2 linked regions of the Notamacropus eugenii genome follow. Each later gene encodes a partner of the first gene's protein in a complex. Links are inferred from orthologs where the notes say so. Each region holds a gene or a part of one and is shown on either strand. Other genes may lie near its edges. The genes, in order: PTH2R and PTH2.

Region 1 (3,909 bases):
ACAACCACATATATGTGTGTGTGTGTGTGTGTGTGTATTAGATTATATATTTTGCTTAAAGATGTTGTTATGAATGTTATGCTTTACTTTATTGAACAATCTTTAGTCTATTGCTGATTAAATTAACTACGTGATTAGACACTTAAAAATCATTCACAGCGGCAGTCCTCAGGTGTGCATGATCAGCTTTACAAATCCAAAGAGGATTAGTTTGTTTTTTTTTTATCTTGGCTTTCCCTCCCTGATTTTGAATGACTTGAATGTTGTAGCTGTGACATCTTTATGAATTTAACTGAGAAGGATTCTGAGGCTCCATGCCATCACCATAATGCTATCTATTAATAGGAGCATTTTGGGAATCTTGCCTAGATCCAGCAGGATATCATTCATGATAATAATTAATATAAGTGAACATGTAGTTATGCATCAGGATCAACTGCTTTATATTGCCTTATGATGGGTAAGGGCACTGATGGATCCCTGATCACCTTTGCTATATGTTAGTTTAGTCAATTTTTAAAAGTTCTTATGTTCCTTGGAGGGTTCACATTCACTCATTCTTCCTCTGTCCATCTCTGTTGGCCAACCAGGTAAGTGAAATTGACATGAGCACATCTGGAGCATTAGGAATATTATACATTAAATAACTGTCCTCAAGTTTAGGAGTGTGGGAGGAAGAGCATGATAATGAAATGAAAGGCTGTAAAAGTTTTTGGTATTGTTGATTATAATGAAATCTATTTCCCAAGCTATTGCTAAGTTATTGCATAAAAGAAAAGAGCAGATGATTGGCAGTACTTCATTGTTAAGAGAATATTGAACTTAATTTAGATACTGCAGCAGCAAATTAACTTTTATAAATTTAATTTAACTTAATCTAGGCAGTTAGGTACTCTAAAAAACAAATATTTTTGTACCTCTGAATCAAATTCAAGTTTTATTTATAGAAGTAATGGCAAGACAGACATATTTTGAAGGAAAAAAAAAAGACTTGTTCTTGATAGTATCAAGGCCACGCCAATTCAGTTCAACAAACAGTTACTAAGCTTTAGGATAAAAATAATTAAGAAACTCATTGGACCCAGGAAGATTAAGAAAAAAAAAAGAAAAAATTAGAGTATCTCTTTAAGGAAATTAAATTTCATTGACTGGATAGTGTATATACATGAAAAGAATGCTTACGCTACAAAGAACACACACTGTTTTGTTTTGTTTTTCCCCTGGTCAGAGCTAGAGCAGGGCAGCAGTCAAAAACCTAATGAACTATGAAACTTTAAAACCAAACCTCCTTAATCACACATTTTCCATTTGACAACTTGTCAGGATTCTCTGCAGCCTGGTTAACAGGACCAGTTAGTGATTTGATGAGACATCTAGTGTTGTAGCTGGCAGCTAGTAACTAGGTATATCTGTTTGCTCCAGCTCCAGGGGATGAGCAGAGCCAAGCATTTTCCCGCAAAATTAGTATTGCAGACAGTGTAAGCTACTAGGATGTCGATTTTTTTTTTCTTTTTAACTCAGCCGCCAGTCTCTGACATGTATACAGTTATCTTGGCTCACCTTCTGATTTGTGGTTCTTAGAAAAGAGAATCTGCTTTCTTGACAATAGAACGGCTTTGATCTCCAGAAAGTGAATCTTTTTATTTATGCTGCTCGTCCCTGCGTAAGGAGACTTCTCCACTAAAGCATCGTGGGGTTGCAATCTGCTTCACTGGAGGGATGAATACGCATATCAGTGAAACTGAGGACATTTAAGCAGCAAAGGCAAAGGTGAAAAGGGTTCAGAGGACTTTACTATTGTAACGAAAGAGCTGAGAGAGTCTCAGTTTTTAAGCTCTGAGAGTTTCAATTTTTAATCCCATCTGCGCTACAACCTCCAGCGACAAATCAGGTTGTGCGGTCATTCAGCGAACTTTTCGGACCAATCACTGAGAAGGCAAGGTGGTATTGGTAAAAGCAGAGCTGATACCCTGGTGTGGACCCACTCAGTTCGCTGGCTCCATCCTGTCTGATCTGCTGCCTGAGGTGCTAAGAGAACTCAAGGAGGGCAAAGGTACTTACAAACACGTGCGGAGCTGCCTGGCACCAAGTGCCCGCTGGCGATCCACAGGGCGCTGCGACAACTTTCCACTCTGCCCCTTTTTCCACCCACCCACTCACCCCTTCTTCTCATGGTTGCTCCCTTTTCCAGACTGCTGCAAAAGCAGAGCCTGAGGCTGTTTGCTTGTTTGTAAACCTGGAGTAGGAAATTTTCCAGAAGATGAGAGACCAAGCAAGTAGCGGCTGACTCTGTTGGAGACAACGTGGTCCTAAGGAGTGCATGGCAGCTAGAGAGCCCAGACAGCCCGGGTAGCGGAGTGCCTCAGCCCACAGTCTAAGCAAACTTGGGCACCAGCTGCTTTGCCTCTCGTGACAAGAAGACTGGCTGAATTCCCTGCGGGGAACCACTAGCTTGACGAGAGGGGAGAAAGTTATCAGCACCTTGGACTGTGAAGTGGGTACCGCCCGCCGCCCCCAACCTCCTGGCTGAGCTCTCCTCTTCTAGCTATTAGCCATGGTCAAGGCTGGGGGACTGCCCTTCATCTGGAGCTGGGTGGCTCTCAGCAGCTGTCTCTTGACCAAAGCACAGGTAAGGGGGGAACGCCTGCCCAGGTAAGGAGGGAACGCCTGCCCAGGGAATCCCATCCTTCCAAAGAACTGCAGACAGGTGAGATGAAGGCACGGGGCAATGCTAGGGGGTTATCATCCCTCAGTCTCATAGGTGGTCGGGAAGCCTGGACTTGGAAACATTTGACAGACTAATATGGAATTGTAAACTGGTCAAGCGTTGTGCAAATACTTGTGTATTGTACACTGACTGGACAATAATGAAGGGGTGGAGTGGAGAATAGATAAAGTTAATACTTCTCTACTTAAGCAACTCCAGTACCAGAGACAAACTGTTCTGTGTAGTAGCGATTCAACCAGACCTGAGGTCACTTCAAGTTTAGGAAAGAGTGTAATTTTTTAAAATCTTAATTTTCTTCTCTATTTTAAATAGGAAATCTCTTAAAACGAGGGAGAGTGGCTAGGAAACATTGCATTGATGTTATGTTTAATTCAGGACTTTTGCAATAGTCTAGACGAGTCAGAGCTCAAAGGTCAGTTTAGGGAATTTCTTTGTTATTACCTGGTATAACCAAGCAGCTGTCTTGTATAAGACAGCTGCATTGTAAGATTATCTTCCCAAGACAAAATGCCAGGTTTAAACTCAGAGCTTTGAGACTTTTGTGCGAGTCAGTGCTATGAAGTGGGAAACAGAGTAATTGCAAATCAATCCTCCTTTATTTGCCATTTCACTCTTCAAACCGTAGAGGGCGCGCCTTTACTTTCCTATACGGTATCTTCACTCACTTTTTCTATTTGGGGAAAGCAATTCCTAATTTTTGATGTGTATCTTTGTCAGTGCCAAATAGCCACGCTTGATGACATTATGTTCTCTAATCTCAGATGACAGATTTCAAAAGCTCAATAATTCTAGAAGGGCAATTATGGTCCATTAAAGTAGCTGTCATGTTTATAATCTAATAATTTAGGAACTGAAGGAGGATTTCTGAAAAAGAGAGAGAAAACTATAAAAGGCATCAACACTATGTCTTAAGCCTTTAATGCCTTAAATAAAAATCACACCAGTTTCCTCTCAGATACCTGTTTTATAAGAGAGGTGAGAAATTTTAAATGGAGAGAAAACTTAGAATTTATTTAGGCTCAACTATACCTTCAAGTTAGTGAGACTTTGAGAGGAAAGTTCATCTGCAAAGTAGAATGGGCAAGAAACTCTGGTTTTGAAAACTGTTGAAAATTATATTTTTTCCTAATGTGACCCTCATTCATTCCTTTGTAATATTACTTCCCCTGTAGGACTCATTT
Region 2 (3,588 bases), on another chromosome or scaffold:
ATTACTGTCTGCGCCTTCTCAATCAGATCCGGAGAGCCGAAGCAGGGAACTGGTGGTCAACTGCCCTCCCTCATTGCCCCCATACCCCGAGGGACACCACCGGCTTTCACTTGTTTACAATCCAAGTTGCTCGGAGACCCGCTATGGAAGAAGATGCGAGGTCCCCTAGAGGCGGAGGTTGGGGGGAGGGGAAGCCTGTGCACCAGAAAGCGAGGGGGAGTGGGGCGTCAAACTCCTGCCTGGGGTGGGGGTGGAGTGACCTGGACTGGGAACAGGGTGCAAAGAGTAGCGTTTGGAATTCCGGGAGCTGGGTTTCAAATGCTGGCTCGGCCACATCTTTTCTTCCTGTGTGACCTTGGTCATTTCAGCCTCTCTGAGGGTCAGTTTCCTCATCAATAAAATCTATTGGTAGTGGCATCTAAGATCCCTTAGGGATCTTTCTATGATCCCATGATCCCTTCACGAGGAGAGGACAACGGTCTGTACTACTGGGTACTTGATTTGGGAAGCTCCTGGGCACCGGAGGGGTTCTGAGGCGGAACCTGAGCCACTCGGACACCTGTTACTTGGTGGGGATCCCTTATGAGAAGGAGGTGGGGGAGAGGCGAGCCAGGATCAGTGCGTTATCTGGGTGGGAAGTGGACTGCGTTGGAGTGAGGTGGGAGGAAACAGAGCTCCTGGGTTCCTGATTGGGGCGGCCTCGAGTGTTTGGGTGCAGGGTCCTTACCTGAGGGTCAGGGCCTTAGCAGCAGCAGCAGCAGCAGCAGCAGCAGCAGCAGCAGCAGCAGCAGCAGCAGCAGCAGGTGGTGTAGAAAACTGAACTCGGGCAGGTGAGCTGCGGAGACAAGGATGCAGGCGGGGCCTTGGGGAGGGGGTGAGGCACCTCACTGTCCTTCCCTTGAGAACCCGGGTGCCAGGCGACTGGGCCTGCTCTTAAAGGGACAGAGCTCGGAAGGGGGCGGGCAAGGCTCCCTGGATGGTGTTCAGCCCCACGCTGGGGTCCCAGGCATTCTTTTCTGGGGAATCCAGGTGTTATTCCCTCTTCCCATTTCTAAGCCTTACTCTTGGGACCCTATAGAGCCCAGTGAGTCAACTTGACAGTCACATCTCTACAGGGTGCCTCGACTCACTTAGGCCCTGAGTTGTGTCGTGGAGTGGGTGTTTACAAAGGTCAGGGAGAAGAAGCTTCCTGTTCCACCCTCCCTACCACTGTTCCCAAACCGACTGTGTCCTTGATGTGGCTCCCGCTGTAGACCTGTCCGTACTGTTGTTACCGGACCCTTCCGTTGGACCATCTGTCCCCGTCCCTCCCTCAATTTCTTTGTCTAGCCGTGTCTAGCCCAAGCTCTCTTCCTCTTCCTAGTGGTTCCTCTGTCTGTATCTCCATGTGGCTCCCTCTCTGATGGTCTGAACGTCGAATCCGCCTTTCATGACGAGTCTTACTTGTTTACTTATCCATGTCACCCTCTAATCATCCATTCCCCGTCTCTCTGCTGGCTACCTGTCCCCTCATTTCTTTCCCCCTTGCCATCCCCGCCTCTCCCCCACCCAGCCCTGGCCCCTCCCGGGCCCAATTAGGGCCCAACTCCGGCTTGAGTTCGTTCAGCCTCCTCCGCTCTCTGCTGCTCATTACCGGCGGCAGAGCCTAATGAGGCTGGGGGCGGCGTGACCCCGCGGCCCTGCCCGGCCCAGGCCTGCGTCAGCGAGGGCCTTTATAAGGGCTTTGGGGGTGGCGGAGATAGACTGCGCCTCGCTCGGGACAGAACAGGACCGGTACGGGCTGGACCTGCCAGGAGACTGGAGGGGGGCTGGGGAGATGGCTGGAGCCGCTGAGCAGGACTTGTGTACCCCACAGGTGATGGAGAACCCCAAGAGCCGGGGGCGCCGCCGGTGCGGGCTACTGCTGCTGCTGTTGCTGCTGCTGCTGCTGCCTGGGATCTCCGGCACCACCGGGGCTGTTTTGTCCCGCCCTGAGAGCCCCAAGTAGGTATGGGGGTGCGGACCAGAGACAATCTCCCAGGCCACACGCAGGAACCCCTGACTAGCAGAGTTACATGGGTTGAGAGACGTACAGAGACAGAGATAGAGTGAGTGACTGACAGGGAAAAGAGATACAAAGAGATAGATCCCGAGAGATAGCAATGCAGCAAAACTGAGGGAGAAGCAGAGGTGGGGGAGCTGAGAGACTCTCAGTGACAGAACCGAAGACTGCTCGAGAGAAAGCGACAGAGCGGGATTCTCTGGAGGAAACTGGAGGGACACACTGGGCTGGGACTAGGACGGGTCTGCTCAGAGAGCTGGAAAGGGATCAGGAACTAGGCTGGGGAGATAGGAGTGTGGCCACGGACTTCTCGGGCGGGGATCGGAGTGGCCGTGGTCTCGCTTCTCTGAGTCGGATCGGGATGGGGTGAGCGGGATTGGGGAGCCTGGGTGCCTCTCTCTCTCTCTCTCTCTCTCTCTCTCTCTCTCTCTCTCTCTCTCTCTCTCTCTCTCTCTCTCTCTCTCTCTCTCTCTCTCCTCCCATCCCCACCCCGCACCTTGCAGCTCCTGGCTCCCGTGGGTCCCGCCTCCCGCCTCTCTGACCCTGCGGAACTGGAGTCTTCAGCTGACCGGGGAGGACCCCGCCCGGGCCCCCGGGCCCCGCCCCCAACTCGAGACCCGCCCCCAGGACCCCGCCCCGAGCGCTGGACCCCAACGGCGCCTGGTGGTGGCTGACGACGCGGCTTTTCGGGAGCGGGCTCGCCTTCTGGCAGCCCTGGAGCGGCGCCGCTGGCTCAATTCCTACATGAACAAGCTCCTGGTGGTCAGCAATGCGGCCGCGGACTGACACTGAGCTCCCCCCAATAAAAGTTCCTCGTCTTTTTTCAGCCTCGTGTCTTTGGTGCGCCGGGGAGAGGAGCCTGGGGGGCCTACCGCAGCCCGGTGTGGGCCCGACTCCCCTCCTTTACTCAGTGGCAGCTTTGGGGCCGGCGAGCCATCCTCCCAGGGCTCGTGTCCTTTTCCTTGTCTCCCACTGCCTCCCACTTTCTGGGCCTCTTGGGCTGCCTCTATCTCTGTCTTGGCCGGCTGTTTTTCTGTTCCCTTTCTCTTCTCACTCTTCTCTGTCTCCATGCCCCATCTTATCCCTGCCTGTCTCTTGATTTCCATCGTTTTCGGTCTGTTTCTGGTTTTCTGGGCCTCTGGGTCTGAGCCTTCCAGGGCCCGTTTTTCTCTTATCCTTCCTATCCACCGCCCCCCGACCCCCAGCCCGCCCCCAACCCAGGCTGGAAAGCCTACAGAGATGCAGTGCATGCAGGAGGGTGGAAAGAAGAGGAAGGAAGAAAGCCAGGGTACCCGGAGGGAGACGAGATTGAGAAATTGGGCATCACTAGCCATGAGACACCGACACGCTCCTGGTTGACCTTACTCATCCCATAAGTCCAAAAGGGGTTCAGGTGTGCGCAAACGGCTTTCTTATCGACCCAAAGAAAACTCCAGACTCGGAATGGAGGAAGCTAATTGGTTGTATTGGCACACAGACAGCCATAGAAAAATTGCCTAAACTCTTAACAAGATTCTAGGATTATTGTGGTGGAATGTCCTTAGGCA

What was found.
Region 2: the proteins of PTH2R (region 1) and PTH2 are in contact, whole or in part, in a cryo-EM structure (PDB 7F16), measured with the Homo sapiens proteins. The link is inferred for Notamacropus eugenii from reciprocal best matches to the Homo sapiens genes PTH2R and PTH2. Residues at the interface, in NP_005039.1 of Homo sapiens: Thr31, Ile32, Ile34, Gln37, Ile38, Asp68, Gly69, Leu70, Ile90, Tyr91, Asp92, Phe93, Met112, Lys117, Ala120, Tyr122, Leu126, Gln130, Pro131, Ser134, Lys137, Gln138, Phe141, Glu142, Tyr152, Arg190, Ile194, Lys197, Val201, Ile205; in NP_848544.1 of Homo sapiens: Ser62, Leu63, Ala64, Leu65, Ala66, Asp67, Asp68, Ala69, Ala70, Phe71, Arg72, Glu73, Arg74, Ala75, Arg76, Leu77, Ala79, Ala80, Leu81, Glu82, Arg83, Arg84, Trp86, Leu87, Tyr90, Met91, Lys93, Leu94, Leu95.

What each region holds. Positions count from the first base shown.
Region 1 is NC_092877.1:306,125,395-306,129,303, reverse strand, and holds the start of PTH2R (parathyroid hormone 2 receptor), read left to right. Parts: upstream 1-1,257; 5' UTR 1,258-2,554; coding exon 2,555-2,629; intron 2,630-3,909. UniProt on the Homo sapiens protein: This is a specific receptor for parathyroid hormone. The activity of this receptor is mediated by G proteins which activate adenylyl cyclase. PTH2R may be responsible for PTH effects in a number of physiological systems.
Region 2 is NC_092876.1:12,609,157-12,612,744, reverse strand, and holds PTH2 (tuberoinfundibular peptide of 39 residues), read left to right. Parts: upstream 1-1,088; 5' UTR 1,089-1,816; coding exon 1,817-1,983; intron 1,984-2,544; coding exon 2,545-2,827; 3' UTR 2,828-2,862; downstream 2,863-3,588. UniProt on the Homo sapiens protein: Plays a role as a potent and selective agonist of PTH2R resulting in adenyl cyclase activation and intracellular calcium levels elevation. Induces protein kinase C beta activation, recruitment of beta-arrestin and PTH2R internalization.